Arabidopsis thaliana: one gene and its partners. The protein of the gene in region 1 purifies or fractionates together with the protein of each later gene. This does not show direct contact. Each region holds a gene or a part of one and is shown in the gene's direction. Other genes may lie near its edges.

What was found.
Region 2: the proteins of CYCA3;3 (region 1) and PPC1 purify together in Arabidopsis thaliana (affinity purification with mass spectrometry, with the first as the bait; one large-scale study listed by BioGRID). This does not show direct contact.
Region 3: the proteins of CYCA3;3 (region 1) and GSTU19 purify together in Arabidopsis thaliana (affinity purification with mass spectrometry, with the first as the bait; one large-scale study listed by BioGRID). This does not show direct contact.

Annotation. Positions count from the first base shown.
Region 1 is NC_003070.9:17,301,066-17,306,991, forward strand, and holds CYCA3;3 (Cyclin A3;3), read left to right. Parts: upstream 1-2,610; coding exon 2,611-2,814; intron 2,815-2,987; coding exon 2,988-3,220; intron 3,221-3,323; coding exon 3,324-3,476; intron 3,477-3,556; coding exon 3,557-3,740; intron 3,741-3,838; coding exon 3,839-3,973; intron 3,974-4,057; coding exon 4,058-4,132; downstream 4,133-5,926. Other genes in the region: CYCA3;2 (cyclin-dependent protein kinase 3;2), read left to right, coding at 1-312, 394-626, 711-863, 949-1,132, 1,231-1,365, 1,448-1,519; CYCA3;4 (CYCLIN A3;4), read left to right, coding at 5,687-5,926.
Region 2 is NC_003070.9:19,885,334-19,891,259, reverse strand, and holds the start of PPC1 (phosphoenolpyruvate carboxylase 1), read left to right. Parts: upstream 1-2,846; 5' UTR 2,847-2,955; exon of another isoform or gene 2,956-3,171; 5' UTR 3,172-3,189; coding exon 3,190-3,357; intron 3,358-3,583; coding exon 3,584-3,978; intron 3,979-4,058; coding exon 4,059-4,143; intron 4,144-4,217; coding exon 4,218-4,440; intron 4,441-4,540; coding exon 4,541-4,644; intron 4,645-4,735; coding exon 4,736-4,826; intron 4,827-4,925; coding exon 4,926-5,080; intron 5,081-5,156; coding exon 5,157-5,926. Other genes in the region: TLP7 (tubby like protein 7), read left to right, coding at 1-23. UniProt on the Arabidopsis thaliana protein: Through the carboxylation of phosphoenolpyruvate (PEP) it forms oxaloacetate, a four-carbon dicarboxylic acid source for the tricarboxylic acid cycle. Contributes probably to the adaptation to inorganic phosphate (Pi) deprivation.
Region 3 is NC_003070.9:29,485,081-29,491,006, reverse strand, and holds GSTU19 (glutathione S-transferase TAU 19), read left to right. Parts: upstream 1-2,999; 5' UTR 3,000-3,187; coding exon 3,188-3,502; intron 3,503-4,003; coding exon 4,004-4,348; 3' UTR 4,349-4,620; downstream 4,621-5,926. Other genes in the region: NCED9 (nine-cis-epoxycarotenoid dioxygenase 9), read left to right, coding at 1-112; GSTU20 (glutathione S-transferase TAU 20), read left to right, coding at 5,803-5,926. UniProt on the Arabidopsis thaliana protein: Catalyzes the glutathionylation of 12-oxophytodienoate (OPDA). In vitro, possesses glutathione S-transferase activity toward 1-chloro-2,4-dinitrobenzene (CDNB) and benzyl isothiocyanate (BITC), and glutathione peroxidase activity toward cumene hydroperoxide.

The DNA of each region.
Region 1 (5,926 bases):
ACAAGAGCGGCGGCGAAACGAAAAGCTTCGACGGCGATGGGTATTGACGGAGATCGGGTCAACAAGAAGAGAGTTGTTCTCGGTGAGCTTCTAAACGTCTCCAATGTCAATCTCTTGGCTAATCTCAATCAGAAGAAAGAAACCCAGAAGCCAAAAAGGAATCTTAAACCTCCTCCGGCGAAACAGATTAAGTCAGCTCCGGTGGCTATTATTGACCTAGAATCAAAATCTGACATTGATTCTCGATCTGATGATCCTCAAATGTGTGGACCTTATGTTGCTGATATCTATGAGTATCTTCGTCAACTTGAGGTAATAATGATCTTGTGTTTTGGATTTAGAATCATTTACTTAGTTCTTGAATTGGATCTGAATTGGATTTGGTGAATTCAGGTGAAGCCAAAGCAGAGACCTTTACCAGATTACATAGAGAAAGTTCAGAAAGATGTAACACCAAGTATGAGAGGTGTTTTGGTTGATTGGTTAGTGGAAGTTGCTGAAGAGTATAAACTTGGATCTGAAACACTTTATCTCACTGTCTCACATATTGATAGATTCTTGTCTTTAAAGACTGTTAACAAGCAAAAGCTACAGCTTGTTGGAGTTTCTGCTATGCTTATTGCTTCGTAAGTGTTTTATGATTCTTCCTCTCTTGTGTTTGTTGTCATTGTTTATGTATGGAAGCTAATGGAAGTATTGAAATGTTGTAGGAAGTATGAAGAGATAAGTCCTCCTAAAGTGGATGATTTTTGTTACATTACGGATAATACGTTTTCGAAACAAGATGTTGTGAAGATGGAAGCTGATATACTTCTTGCTCTTCAGTTTGAGTTGGGAAGACCAACGATTAATACTTTTATGAGGTTAGATTTGTGTGTATTGGTGATGATTACTTATTGGTTTGTCTTAGTTTCATTGTTCTGATTTTGTGTGTTGGTGTTTGTGTAGACGGTTTACTAGAGTTGCACAAGACGATTTCAAAGTTCCACATTTGCAGCTAGAGCCTCTTTGTTGCTATTTGTCAGAATTGAGTATATTAGATTATAAGACTGTGAAGTTTGTGCCGTCTCTGTTGGCTGCTTCTGCTGTTTTTCTCGCTCGGTTCATCATCCGTCCGAAACAACATCCTTGGGTAAGCATATTTGTCTCAGTCTCTTTCAGGTTTTAGTCTGCTGTGGTCATTGTTTAGAATGAGACACTAATGATTTATGGTTGTGAATATGTAAACAGAACCAAATGTTAGAAGAGTACACAAAGTACAAAGCGGCTGATCTACAAGTGTGTGTTGGAATCATACATGACTTGTATTTGAGCAGAAGAGGAGGTGCTTTACAAGCTGTTAGAGAGAAATATAAGCACCATAAGGTACTTAAACATTACACATTGATAAAATCATTTGAATAAGCAGAGCTTTCTTGATACTTAATGTTGCTTCTTCTCGGTACAGTTCCAATGCGTTGCGACCATGCCTGTTTCACCAGAGCTGCCGGTTACCTTTTGGGAGGATGTTACCATTTGATCTGAGGTTATGCTATCTTAAGCAAATGTTACGGAGCTGGATTACCGAATCTTGTTTCAAATAGTATAATGGACACAGATCTTCAAGTGAAGCTAGAAGAGTAAGAAATATAGAAGTGAAGGCAGGAGCAAATAAGTCTGCGTTATGTGAAGATGTGTGATGTATTATTGAAATCTCTTCTTTTTTATTTACAAAATTTTAGTGTGAAATTCGGAATAATATAATTTTATACAATTATGCAATATGATATAAGTATTTATGTGACATGATCTTATTTTGTTTAAGCATTGAGCCTACTACTGTATGTTTATACTTAATGAAAATTCCTAGAGGGCTAAAACTCTAGAAGACATTGTTGTTAATTTAAAGAAACTAATGAAAATCTCAAGAAACAAAAGAAAAGAAAAGATTGTCTATGAGATTGATAATCAAGTTTACTAAAGAGAGATTAAACTTGAGAAACAAGAAACAAGGGAGCTTTAGCGATGACTTGAAAAGTTTCGGTGTGAAGATCCAAAGACAAAACCATGGTTTCAACTTTCACCCTCGTGTGAACCAGTGAAGTGAGCCATCAACATACACAGGATCTTGGGTGTGAGAAACCAGATAAGGGGATGCAGGACAACGTACCTCCAAGTGTTGGTTGCAAAATCAAAAACTTCACAAGTTGTAGCGTTCTCGTTTAGGCCTAACTCAGCGGAATAAGCAAATCAAATCGAAATTATAATTAGGGTTCTACTTTACAATTTTCTCCAAAGTAAAATTACAAGTTTTAGATTAAAAAAAGATAATTATATGTAATTACTTTTTGAGATTTTTAATCAAGTAAAAAAAGGTAATTTCTCTAAATTAACACGTTTTGGAACGATTTTTTTTTTAATTTCCTTTTTTTAATTACTTGGGATTTCGTGTTCAACAAGTTATTGTTTTGGGCTTTGGTTTAATTTTCCTTTTTTTTTTAGTCTGTCTCATCTCTCATCTGAATTCTGAAACCTGGTTGTTTTAGGATAGAGTCTTCTACTCTATATATAGGACTTAGTGTAAGATTTATTGTTGTTCTTTCGAAGATGTGTTCTTGTTTTTCGATAAATATGGTGTCTAAGAAAGATAAACAGATTCATTCCGACCATAACCCTCAAGATGCTTCCCCGGTAGAGTGGGCGGAAATTCGACATAAGCTACTTGCGTTTCAAGAGAACATTCAATCAGGCTCTGACATTGACGCTAGGTCTGATGATCCACAGATGTGTGGACTTTATGTCTCAGATATCTACGAGTATCTCCGTGAATTAGAGGTACGTAATAAGATCTCCTACTTGCTCTGTTTTTGGACTTAGAACATTGACAAGTTTCAATAGGTCAATTTAGTATACTTTATCTGAAGAGTTTCTATGATTGTTCTCTGTTTGGACTTAGAATTTGTGGATATGTTCTGAAGATTTGTGTTTTTGGTTTGGTGAATATTCAGGTGAAGCCAAAGCTAAGACCTTTACATGATTACATTGAAAAGATTCAAGAAGATATAACACCAAGCAAGAGAGGTGTTTTGGTAGATTGGTTAGTGGAAGTTGCTGAAGAGTTCGAACTCGTGTCTGAAACACTCTATCTCACTGTCTCTTACATTGATAGATTCTTGTCATTAAAGATGGTTAACGAGCACTGGCTTCAGCTTGTGGGAGTTTCTGCAATGTTTATCGCTTCGTAAGTGTTTTTGATCCTCTTGTATTACTCTCTTTGCTATTCATTGTCATGTTGAAACTTACATATGGAGTGGCTTCTCTTTTTTGGCATTTGATATAAATAGGAAGTATGAAGAGAAACGTCGCCCTAAAGTGGAGGATTTTTGTTACATTACGGCTAATACTTATACGAAACAAGATGTGTTGAAGATGGAAGAGGATATACTTCTCGCGCTTGAGTTTGAACTAGGAAGGCCTACGACAAATACTTTTCTAAGGTTAGAATTGTGATGAATAATACTGACTTTTGGTTGTATCTTATGGTTCTTTGTTCTCATCTTTTGTTGTGTTTGTGCAGACGGTTCATAAGGGTTGCACAAGAAGATTTCAAAGTGCCAAACTTGCAGCTAGAGCCTCTTTGTTGCTATCTGTCAGAACTAAGTATGTTAGATTATAGTTGTGTGAAGTTTGTTCCATCTTTGTTGGCTGCTTCTGCTGTCTTTCTCGCTCGATTCATCATCCTTCCTAACCAACATCCTTGGGTAAGAACTTTTGTCTCAATCTCTCTTTTTCAGGTTTATATGTTGAGTTAATCTTTTGAATGAGACACTAATAATCTATGGCTTGTAATGTAAAACAGAGTCAAATGTTGGAAGAATGCACAAAGTACAAAGCGGCTGATCTACAAGTGTGTGTGGAGATCATGCTTGACTTGTACCTGAGCAGAAGTGAAGGTGCTTCAAAAGCTGTTAGAGAGAAATACAAGCAACATAAGGTAATTGACATATTACAAATTATGAAATCATTTGATTTAATTAGTAGTATCATTTATACTTAAATGTTGCTTTTTATGGTACAGTTCCAATACGTTGCGGCAATTCCTGTCTACCAAGAGCTTCCGGTTACCTTTTGGGAGGATGTTGTTACCATTTGATCAGAACCAATCTTTCATTTCCCAATTGTTACTGAGCTCGATTACTAAGGGACACTGATCAACAGTTGAAGCTAGAGGAGTCATATGTTATATGTATCGAAGTGAAGCAGGAGCAAATAATTTGTGTTGTGAAGATGTATTGTGTTATTACTTGATTAACATTGTGGTGACAAATTAATGTGTTACTCTGGAAATTTATACGATTATGCAATATGATAAGAAGTATTTTATGTGACATGATTTTATTTGTTTAATCATTGAGCCTCCTATGACAAAATTTATAAGTTCCTAGAAGGCCAAAACTTTAGTAGTCAATAATTTACTTCAAATGGTATCGAAACCAGATGAATGGGAAGACATGACAAGATAAGCCTTTAGACTTGCTATGATCCTTGACAAAAACAAAACAAAACAGAAATTGTTCATTTAAGTCAATAAAAAGGCAATTTCTACAAGTGAACCCTTATTGGAAAGATTATTTGGTAGAATTGGTCTGGTCATTTCCAACATACGTTTATTAGATAATAACAGATAGGCGGATCATATAAGATAGAGTTGTCAAATCGGGGTGTCCATGTCCATTAGCCCAATCCAATAATGTCTATTTTGATATTGGACGAACATAGTCCGTATCCATTAACACCTTTGTCCAATCCAATAATGTCCATTTTAATATTCGATTTTTCCTCAAATCGATTTAACCTAACATTATAAGACTATTGGGCCGCCCATGTCCATCATATCTACTCTGCTAAAGTTCATATCCGTTAACGACTATAACCATTAAAGCCCGTTTTATAATGGCTTTATCCATGACTCGGTCCATTAAGTATTGGACGCAGGCAGCCCACGGGCCGCACACCCATTTTGACAACTCTAATATAAGATAAGTGTCCGTTGGTGTCAATTATTTTTGTTAAATTAATAGCTGAATTTGTCGAAAAAATTATATAGGAAATGGTGTTAAATGAATTCCTAGTTCAATGATTTTTTTTTATTATTGTTTAGACAAAATATTTTCATATGGTTTAGTGGATTTATTTTTCTGTATCCAAAAAAAAATCAAAAATGTAAAACTAAACCCAAAAAAAGTATAAAAAAAAAACAAATGCAAAACCGATTTTTTTTTAAATTTTTTAAAAGCATCTCACTTAATTCCGAATCTTAACCAAAACCGAAAAAAAAACAAATCAACTACTAATAATTTCCTTAATTAAAAGCATTCATTGATTGTTATTTTCATCTTTAATTAAGTGAATAAAACAATAATGATTGTCTAAATATAGGAGTGAAACTTTTTGAAGGGTAAAAAGGAGAAAACAGCCGCCAAATAAATGTGGAAATGAAATCTGCAAAAAAGCCCCAAATTTTGGATACTCAAAAGTCAAATCCCTAAAAATTTCGAAATCGGAAAATTTACACAGAGAAGCGCCATGACCTAAAAATCTCAAAACTTCCCCAACAAAAATGGCGCTTTTACTCAACCCATTTCCTTTTACCTACCTTGTACATTACCCCTTTTCTCAAATCTCACTTTCCCACTGAAATAACCCCATGGCGGAGAATCAGAACTGTGCGAGGATGACGAGAGCGGCGGCGAAACGAAAAGCGTCGTCCATGGCGTTAGACGAAAACCCAGTTAGTAAGAAGAGAGTTGTTCTCGGAGAGCTTCCGAATATGTCCAATGTCGTTGCTGTACCCAATCAAGAAAGAGAGACCCTTAAGGCTAAAACAAGTGTTAATACCTCGAAGAGGCAGATGAAGAAGGCTTTGATGATTCCTGAAGCTAGCGTA
Region 2 (5,926 bases), 2.6 Mb from region 1:
GCACTAAACTTGCCTGCGAGTGAAACCCAACAAAAGGCAACAGAAAAGAAAAAGTGAACTGGCTTTGCAAAAATGTAATGTTTTGATGTAATCATGTGTAAGTGTAAACACAAAGGTATGTGGAAAGGAGAAGCACATAAGTATTATTATGTAAGAAACATTATTTAAAACCCATAATCATAATGTATCTCTTAAGTATACCCATGTGGTTTTCTTTTATTTTTGAATAGAATTTGGGACTTCACATTCCTTCAAAGTAGGACTTCAATGGTTTTTTGGAAACATGACTTATTTGCAAAATATATACAAAAACAATGAATAGCAAGACTTTTTTCTTTTTGTCAGCAATGAATAGCAAGACTTAAGTAACATATTTTTAATTTTTGGCTTATACACAAGAAAAAAGTCGCATATTTTTGGTTTGGAACTTGAGCCGGTTCGATGTCTGACAAGTCGATTTGAAAAACTTCTTTATAATTTTTTACTTTTCGGTTTTATATTCTTTTGTATTTTACAACTGGATCTTGTTTATATATATCAATATATGTGAAATGAGCGTACTAGTACTATTATTGGTGTGGAATACTTTCGCATGCCCTAGTCTTAACTCTTAAGGATAAGTAAGGGCAGGTTTCTCTTTGTTTTCCAAATTTATCGTTCAATATTTCTTAAATTAGGATATAATGTACAATTAATCGTTCATTTCTTTTAATTAGAACCGTAGTTTGTACACATCACTACATAGCCACACTATAGTAATTAAGTGAAGCCTCATCAGAAAAGGAAAACGATCTATAGATGAAAAAGTTAAATACCCAAGAGAAGTGATTTTCAGTTAAAAGTATAGTTTTTGCTAAAAATATTTATAACGGCATTAATCACGATACTCGCGTAAGTAGTATACTCTACCATATACTATCTTTTAGTGAGTCGGAAATATGTCATAAGCCATTACGCGACCATGCAATATTGCTTCCGTAAGCATCCGCACTAGTAAAGTGTCCAAATGGATGCCGTCAAAACAACAAAAGTGTTTTAAAAAAGAACCGAAACAAGTTTTCACACTTGGTCCTTAGCTTCTCAAACTCTTCTTCGTCCTGATAATGGACTTTAATTATCATGTTATACGTCAACCAAGTTATCAGCTAACCATCATCACTTTATTAAGTATATGCAGCCTTGTGCTCATAATATTCATTATATTATACTAAAAGTCTAATCATATGAAGAAAGGAAAAAAAAAAAAAGAGGCTTGTTTATGAAATTAAGGAGTGCACGTAAGGCCATATTTATAATTCTATTTCAGAAAATGTAAATTCAAACACGGCAAATATGTTAGTTTCATGGTGCATGCATGATGCATTTCCAACTGTTTCTTTTTTTGGGGATGAAAATGTATTTCCACCGGTTAATTAACGAAGCTTCTATTTCATGTTTCCGTTTTCTTTTACTTTTTTTTTTTGTTTTTACTTCATATATATCATTTGACAAAGTTAAGGCTTTAAAATGGCAGTAGTTTCTTAATTTGTTTTTAGATTTTGGATTTATGGTGTTTAGTTCTTAGTTTTTTTTTGCAGTAAATTTTTAGTTTTATATAAATGTATGTACCCAATACATATCACTATATATTTTATAGTCCAAAAGAATTTTATGTGATGGTGAAAAGAAAAAAATGTGTGATCATTCGCTGAAATTAATAAATTTTGCAGTATATTAAAGAAAACTAGAAAAGTGAGTACCTAATATTCCAACAATTAGACTGTATCACTCATGCCTGTCGTCTGTCGACTGTTGACTTGTGTTATAATAAAGACATTTCAAATTATCCGAATATTCCATTAGCACATATGAAGATATCCAATTTTTGAATAATTGGAGTCGACCAATGTAAAATATTCATAACGTGACATCACATCACATACATGTACGACTTTGTCACTTACCAAAAATGATCTAGTTATGATAATAACATCATCACATGAGTAAGAATGATAAGGCATGATCTAATCAGCATCATATACCGCTACTTTATTTACTATCACATTTTCGTTCACAAGAGTAATATTATATTTGATTTTATATATGTCTAAAAATTTATCGTAGACTGCCGATTTTAGATTTTGGGAGGTTAGAAGAACTAATAAAACCGAAAGAAATAGATGATGGTCGGTTAAATACTTAAGTCCTTTATAAGAAAGAAAAATTAAAAGTCAACTTTATCGCTGAAAGTGAAAGTTAGGTTGAAAGTTCAGAGATTTATTCATCAACTTCCGTGCATTGACACATGCTCTTCTCTACATTCGCTCACGTGAATTTTAGAACAACAAATTATTTTACAAACACTATAATCTTCCGGTAATTTAACCACAATAAAGAGATAAATAATCTTTATATTAAATCGATCGAATTCTAATTCTGTAGGTACTGTGAGTCAAACATGAAAGTGTAAATTTTCAAAATATGATTGGTGTTAACTTAGGTGAATCAATTTTTGATGTTTTTTTGTTGATTATATAAATCAAAATTACGGAAGAATGCATGTTGTTTACATAAGTGATATAATTAATTTTTTACTGATATATTAAAAATAAAAATATTTTATGTTATTGTTTTGGTTATTTTTTTGTTCCACAAAAATTAATTAATCATAATATTTCTTTCTTGACTATCACTAGATTCAATGAAAATCTCTCTTTTATACATAAATAAAAATCTTCTCAATGCATTAATAAATATATATAAATTGAGGAAAAAAAGAGATAGAAATCATGGAAAAAAAGGTTAAAAATTCCAACTATAAGCGAGCATCACATATAGAAATAGAATAATGTATAGGAATCCATCATGATCTCACTCTCTATATATAGGTAAGCCAAGTATCTTATTTTTGGTTATGTATCTCTGAAATCTGAATCTGACTGACTTCAAAGGACACAGCTTTTACTTCTATAACTGGTTAGCTTCTCCACACACACACACACTTGTTAGATTTACTTTTCCTCCGCACTATCAGCAGATTTTTCTCATCTGGGTCTGTTTGTTTCTGTTGACTCAAAGTTTCCGACTTTCTTATTTTCTGTCTCCGATTTCATCGCCGAAATCTCAGTCAATTTTGTCTTTAGATCTTTAATTTTTGGATCCCTTTAATTATTTTGTTTGGTCTTACTTCAGAGCGAAGCAGGTGAAAAAATGGCGAATCGGAAGTTAGAGAAGATGGCATCGATTGATGTTCATCTTCGTCAACTGGTTCCTGGCAAAGTTAGTGAAGACGACAAGCTTGTTGAGTATGATGCTTTGCTTCTAGATCGGTTTCTCGATATCCTCCAGGATTTGCACGGTGAAGATCTCCGTGAAACTGTACGTTTTCTCCATTTTGGATTTGACCCTTTTGCTATAAGATCCTGAAACTACATGCTCTGTTTTGAGTATTGACTAAAGGTTTCAACTTTTTTTGATTCGATCATGGATTAGATTAGTTAGGGTTTTGAAACGCAGGAAGATTTAAACTTTATGTTAGTTTTGAGATTAGTAGTTTCATGTGATCTAATTTTGATGATCTTATTGTGTGTGTTGTTGTATATAGGTTCAAGAGCTTTATGAGCATTCTGCAGAATACGAAGGGAAGCATGAACCTAAGAAGCTAGAGGAGCTAGGGAGTGTGCTAACGAGTTTAGATCCAGGAGATTCCATTGTTATCGCTAAAGCTTTCTCTCATATGCTTAACTTAGCCAATTTGGCTGAGGAAGTGCAGATTGCTTATCGCCGTAGGATCAAGAAGCTGAAGAAAGGTGATTTTGTTGATGAGAGCTCTGCTACTACTGAATCTGATCTTGAAGAAACTTTCAAGAAGCTTGTTGGAGATCTGAACAAGTCTCCTGAAGAGATCTTTGATGCTCTCAAGAATCAGACTGTGGATTTGGTTTTGACTGCTCATCCTACTCAGTCTGTGAGAAGATCATTGCTTCAGAAACATGGGAGGTTAGTCTTTGAGGCTTCACCGGGCTTGCTTTGGATCGATGTTTTGATGTTAAAGTTATCTACTTTGTGCGGTTTTTCAGGATAAGAGACTGTCTGGCTCAACTATATGCTAAGGATATTACTCCTGATGACAAGCAAGAGCTCGATGAGGCTCTTCAGAGAGAGGTAAAATCTTATTGGATTCTTCATATTTACATGATTTTGGAAACTAATGGAAAAAAAACTTGGGTTTTTGTTAGATTCAAGCTGCATTCCGAACAGATGAAATCAAAAGAACACCACCTACTCCTCAAGATGAGATGAGAGCGGGAATGAGTTATTTCCATGAAACTATCTGGAAAGGTGTTCCTAAGTTTCTGCGCCGTGTTGACACGGCTTTGAAAAACATAGGGATCGAAGAACGTGTTCCATATAATGCTCCATTGATTCAGTTCTCTTCTTGGATGGGTGGTGATCGTGACGGTACATTTCTACAAGTCCTTCTCGCATAGCTCTCTTATTGCGCTCCCTCTCTTAATGGTTTTACTCATGTCACAAACTCACAATATATGTGTATTTGCAGGTAACCCAAGGGTTACACCTGAAGTCACCAGAGATGTTTGCTTGTTAGCTAGAATGATGGCTGCTACTATGTACTTTAACCAAATCGAAGATCTTATGTTTGAGGTTTGATCTCGAGTTCTTTTTTTGAGTTTAGTCTCCTTACTTTCTTTTATTTATGTATCACCTCATTTCATGATTACTGCTTCTTTCATAGATGTCTATGTGGCGTTGCAATGACGAGCTGCGTGCGCGAGCTGATGAAGTTCATGCAAATTCGAGGAAAGATGCTGCAAAACATTACATAGGTAAGAAAAATAACCGATTTTGAGCATTTTGTTTATGTTTAAGCTATGTGTCTGGAACCGATTTAATTTGGAACCTATCATTCATTGTCTTGATTGCAGAATTCTGGAAGTCAATTCCTACAACTGAGCCATACCGTGTGATTCTTGGCGATGTAAGGGACAAGCTTTATCACACACGTGAACGCGCTCATCAACTGCTCAGCAATGGACACTCTGATGTCCCTGTAGAGGCTACTTTCATTAACTTGGAACAGGTATCATTGCAATTAGAATCTTTTAACTCCCGGTTATGATTTGGTACTAAACCACTCTCTCATGCTATTTGTGTAGTTCTTGGAACCTCTTGAGCTCTGTTACCGATCTCTGTGTTCATGTGGTGATCGTCCAATAGCAGATGGAAGCCTTCTTGATTTCTTGAGGCAAGTCTCAACCTTTGGGCTCTCTCTTGTGAGACTTGACATAAGGCAAGAATCTGACCGCCACACTGATGTATTGGATGCTATCACCACGCATTTAGATATCGGATCCTACAGAGAGTGGTCTGAAGAACGCCGCCAAGAATGGCTTTTATCTGAGCTAAGTGGCAAACGTCCGCTTTTCGGTTCTGATCTTCCTAAAACCGAAGAAATAGCTGATGTTCTGGACACGTTTCATGTCATAGCCGAGCTACCAGCAGATAGCTTTGGTGCTTACATTATCTCTATGGCAACTGCACCTTCTGATGTATTAGCTGTTGAGCTTTTACAGCGTGAATGCCGAGTGAAACAGCCTTTGAGAGTTGTTCCGCTCTTTGAGAAGCTAGCAGATCTGGAAGCAGCTCCTGCTGCAGTTGCTAGGCTCTTTTCTGTTGATTGGTACAAAAACCGAATTAACGGTAAGCAAGAGGTTATGATTGGTTATTCGGATTCAGGAAAAGATGCTGGACGGTTATCTGCTGCTTGGCAGTTATACAAAGCTCAAGAAGAGCTTGTGAAGGTTGCTAAAGAGTACGGTGTGAAGCTAACAATGTTTCACGGTCGTGGTGGCACGGTCGGAAGAGGAGGTGGACCAACCCATCTTGCTATATTGTCTCAGCCTCCGGATACTATTAACGGTTCCCT
Region 3 (5,926 bases), about 12 Mb from region 1:
CGCCGTTAATATGAAGCTTGAAGCTACCGTAACGCTTCCGTCGAGAGTGCCTTACGGTTTCCACGGAACGTTCATCAGTAAGGAAGATTTATCGAAGCAAGCTTTGTGTTAGTTTTAGATTTTTGTAGGATCTTATAAATGTTAATATGAGTGATAGTGATTAGTGACATAGGATTGTTGCCTGAGGGATTGTTATGCATTAGTCCCCGGCAACGAGTTTCTTGAATTTTAGTTATACGTATATACTGTGATTATGTATTATGTATATACTATGATCAAGTGTCCAATGATCCAACTGTGTACAAAGTTTTGTAGTAAAGTTTTAATTTACACACAGAATTTGTTAGCATAAAAATTTATAGATTTGATCAAAACTGATTTATTAAAGATGGTTATTAAAGTAGATTAAAGTGGAGTTATTGTTATAAACGATGAGAAAAATGCATTACTTATAAAAATAGCTAAATATAGTCGACACACTAAACTTGATTATCTTAGAAGGTTTATGCTGATATCTTTTCTATATTATGTAAGCTTCCCCAAATATCTCTGTGAGCTGCATGTGAATGAACTGTGTAGAGCTAGAGAAGCTTCTTATAGAAGGAATTTGACCTTCGAAAATGGAAACCCGAAAATATCTCATGTGATCTCTGTTTTGGGAATGAGGTCTACTTTAATCTTTCTGATCGTTCTTTGTCTTTTTTACAATTATCAACAACTTTTATTTATCTGCTCGTTTTTCGTCTGTTCGTTTTTTGTTCTTCTTGCAATAATTGGTATTACAAATTACGAAATTACCACAATACGAATTATTGTTTTTTTATTCTTCTTCTTTTAAAGTAAGAAATCCATATCCCTATACTTATATTTCGAAATTACATAAAAAAACTAACCTTGTATTTTATAAAATATTACTTAGGAATACCATTAGAAATAGAATTTAAAGGTCCAAACTAATTCAGTTCATTAAAATAAACAAGTCAAAACTTTATTTATGCAATTTAATTATAAACCAAAAAGATGCATTTATGGGTTTAACTTGTTGACAGCTTATTTTATTCATGAATTTACGTTGAGGTTGTTGCGATTTCTACTTTAAGCAAACGGGAAACATCTCACAGTTTTGACTTGTGATCTTTTATCCTACTCTTATTGGTTCTAAAGTGCATACACGTAAGCGTATACATAAGCACTCGCATTTCACAGTAGCCAATCGATTGATTCTAATCTTTGAACATGTAATACACTTCATGGCCACTCTTTTTTTCCGGGAACTATCTTTTTTTTTTGACATGGAAAAAGACCATTTTTTGATTTATAACGTGCATACTGCTGTGTCTTTTTTCTAAATAAATAGTTTTTATCAAATATGTAATCATACTAGGGAAAATCTCATCAAGATCATACGTATTTTTGTACATGACTTTTAAATAGTATATTCGCCGAAAAATACGTTGATGTCTCGGAATTTGACGCCTCAAAAACATTAGAATATACAAAATCAAGTAACGAGTTTGTAGGTTGAAACTAAAATGCCACGTAATACAGTGCGTAGGGTCCATTCGATGTTTCTAGATCAAAGTCTACACACTATAGAGACTTCCAGATACAGATACACATTCGAAATCATCAATGAAAAATAACAATTTAAGTATCTTCTTATCCTAATGTGTGTGTGCTTTTTTTTAGTCAACTATTTTGTGTATATTGTAAGATGTATCATGTTATGACATGAGTATGTTGCTACGTGTCGTGAGATATCGAACCCAACGCAGATATGAGTATGTTGAGCTAGTTTCTTCTTATGAAACAATCATATATGTCTATAATGAATAGATCACATTATCTGCCTGAAAAAAATCCCGTATATTACTCGACGAAATATAAATACCCAATGTAGCTGATTTTGCTTTCTCTGGTGACATATCCAATTTGGCTAAATTTGTTAACTAGTCTATTATAGGTTTATAATAGATCTAGCTATGTTAAAGATACTAAAGCATCAGTTACATAAATTTTTGGCGCGAGTTTATATCTTTTGGAATTAAAAATAAGAGAATTTAAAAATAAGAAGATCATTTTGTTTGGCCACAGGAGTTCTGAAAGGTCAGGTATGATTTTTTTCTTGCTCGCTCTTATGATTTTGTTTTTATTAATGGGTTTTCAAATAAGAAAAACTGTTTTTCGAAGCCCGGTTCAGATCCATTGTTTTTTGTAAAATATAGGCCCAATTCACCATAAGTCCATGACCAAAACAAAAATAAGATAGAACCAATACTGAACCAGGATCTTCTCTCGCTTTCGTGATCAATGTCGCCAAGCTTCTCGAGATCATGTGGTCACGTCAATTGTATAAATACAATTATTGACGTAACACAATCTCTACAGTTCCATCGAAATATCTCGAAAATTTCCAGTTAATTCTGGTAACGTGAACGTATCTTCCACCTCTTCAACCTACACAGCTTTCTAGAAATTTGGCTCGCTTTTCTAAGTCCTCTGTATTTTTTTGCACGTTTTTCAACTAAGTTTCAATATGAATCATTTCTTCTATAAATAAATGATATTTTCATCAGGTAATGATACATTGTGCCGAAATAAAACGTCAATACTCATTAGTCAAATTAATTGTTCACATAATTTAAAACTGTGTTAATCCATCCAGTTATTTTCTTACAACAAAATAATCTTTTCCATCAACTTTTAAAATAATTAAACGCAGTGCTAAGAAATCTAAAATCTTGATTTAGAAATCCATTATGGTTTCTGGTCAACTGAAATCCATAATTTCCTTTAACATCCAAAATCCAAATTTGCTACTATGATAATAGATTTCAGACGATTTTTTTTCTTTTTTCAATCATAGAGTCCACACGAATATTTGCAAGTTACTATATAAAACACTATAATGGTCAACAGATAAAAAAAAGGCGAATGAAGATATGTTACGTAAAAAGAAAATACTGTAATTATAAATTATTACTTTAAAAAGCTTTAAAATCTGGCCACATGTTTTTAAAGAGTGGTGTGACGTAACGACTAGAGTCAGCACAATCCATTATTGTATCATAAATATTCTCATCTATAAATTACCTAAACCCTTACAGGTAGTGTCCCAACCAAACAAATCGAGAAAGACGAACACTTACAAAAAAAAATCTCTTTGTGAGCTTTAGCGATCGTAACAATGGCGAACGAGGTGATTCTTCTTGATTTCTGGCCGAGTATGTTCGGGATGAGGACAAGGATCGCATTGAGGGAGAAAGGTGTTGAATTTGAGTACAGAGAAGAAGATCTAAGGAACAAGAGTCCTTTGCTTCTCCAGATGAATCCGATTCACAAGAAGATTCCTGTTCTCATCCACAATGGTAAACCGGTTAACGAATCTATCATCCAGGTTCAGTACATTGACGAGGTCTGGTCTCACAAGAACCCTATCCTTCCTTCTGATCCTTACCTGAGAGCTCAAGCTAGGTTCTGGGCTGATTTCATTGACAAGAAGGTATCTTATTTCCTTTGTGCCCTTGATTGAATAATGTTGAAATTGAACTTGGGATTTCATAAAAATTGAAACTTTAGTTGAGTTTGCTAGTGATTGGCTCAAATTTAGGGTTTTGCTTGTAGACTCGTCTTTGAGCTTGTATGGGTTTGTCTGATGTTATAATATTACTTGAGTTTGTAGTTGTTAGGGTTAGAGATCTCACCTCCAAATTTCAGATTTTTCTTGTGGACTCATCTCTGAGCTAGTCAGGGTTTGTCTTCTTAGATAGTTTAATGTTATGTTACTTGTGCAATTTGAGGTTTTTACATACTAGTTTCGCTAGTAGATATCATCTTTGAGCTTTGTTTGGGTTCATCTTAGATAGTTTGATGATATGTTTCTTTTGCAATTTGGGGGTCTCTAGGACTGGTTTTGCTTTGTAGACATCATCTTTGAGCTTTGTTTGGGTTCGACTGAGTTCTGACATAGCTTGGTGTTATGTTACTCTGTGCAATGTTTCAGCTGTATGATGCTCAGAGGAAGGTGTGGGCGACAAAGGGTGAGGAACAAGAGGCAGGGAAGAAGGATTTCATTGAGATACTCAAGACTCTTGAATCTGAGCTTGGAGACAAACCTTACTTTAGTGGCGATGACTTTGGCTATGTAGACATTGCGTTGATTGGATTCTACACATGGTTTCCAGCATACGAGAAGTTTGCTAACTTCAGTATCGAATCTGAGGTTCCGAAACTGATTGCTTGGGTTAAGAAGTGTTTGCAGAGGGAGAGCGTGGCTAAGTCCTTGCCTGATCCTGAGAAGGTTACTGAATTCGTCTCTGAGCTCAGGAAGAAATTTGTACCTGAGTAAATATGTTTCTCTTGTCATATGGTTCGGACTTAAGATGCTCTCTGTTTTACTTTCGTGTGTTGTCTTTCTTAAATAATGCAGAGCATCTGTGAGGTGGTTTGAGTGTAGAGAATGTATGTCTTTGCTGTAGCAGATTCCTGTGTTTTCTGGATTTAATGGCTTGTCCTAGTTTTTATGCATTGTAACTATGAGTTTAATTAATGATCGTTAATCTATAATGATTATTAATTTGTTACTTTGATATGTAATTACGCCAATACGACTCTTCTACCTGACCAAGCTTATCACGCCAATGTTGCTGTAAAAGACAATAGTGCAGTTTGGCGATTAAAACCTCCAACATCGAGAATGGTAAGCCGGTCTGGATCTAATAAGCCCAAATTGGCATCCATAAGCCCAAATTGAAATTGGCATCCATAACTCCATATTGTAGTCAATTGGAAGTTATGTGGTTGATGTGATCATTAGTGTCGGTATGATCAGATTAGCCACGGGTTTAGTGTTTCTTGCCGAATTTGAATTCGGTAGATCAAATAACATTACTATGATCCGCACAGTTCATGGGATTTGAATTTGATTTACGATTACAACAACGATATTAACACAGAACTATCCTGTAATTTTTGGGATCGATTAGTAAATTTTAAAATATTATTTCAAAGGCTTTATATATATAAAGAATTTAGAGTATAAACATAGATAAAGCATTATGTATTTATAAATCTTATGCTGATATTGAAAAAATAATGGTGTATGTGATATATTTAATAGAGTGCAATACTCTCTCAATAAATTAGTATAGCTGTTATCACTCCTTGTGTAAATGCGTATTTCTTGTACATGCATGGTAAGTAGCTTGTCCTCGTATGTACCGGATTGTAATGTTTGATATCAAATCAAGGGAATCACGTGGTAAATGTACACCCACCTAACTGAGAGATAATAATACAAACAACTGTGAGTAGGTGGCCACGCCAAAAGTAGAGACTGATGCAGCAACTAAGCAAAGTATTACTTCACTCGATCAACTTTTTATTTTGTTACCTTCTTATAAATCAAGTCGATTTCTATATTGTCAAGTACTAATTCCATTCTAATCTCTTACATATACGTTTAAGGTTTGAATCAGAGCAAAAGATAATCACACTCTTTTATATTAAGTGATGTTTTCACTAGTTGCACACATATGACAATTATTTAACAAAGTTGCAAAATACATTTTAAATCGTTACGGGTAAAAGCTTACTGTTTAAAAGATTTATATATGGACCATAATATGCTTTGAAAAAAGCTGATGTGACGTAACGGGAATCAAAATCCTTTCCACATCATTTTCTTCCCCTATAAAACAACCGTCACTCACTCCTTCTCTACTATAACACACACTCGCTTGTTCACGCACAACAAAAAGCAAGAATATATACCACTTTGTGAACTTCAGAGATCCTATAGCAATGGCGAACCTACCGATTCTTTTGGATTACTGGCCAAGTATGTTCGGGATGAGGGCTAGAGTTGCGTTGCGAGAGAAAGGTGTTGAGTTTGAATACAGAGAGGAAGATTTCTCGAACAAGAGCC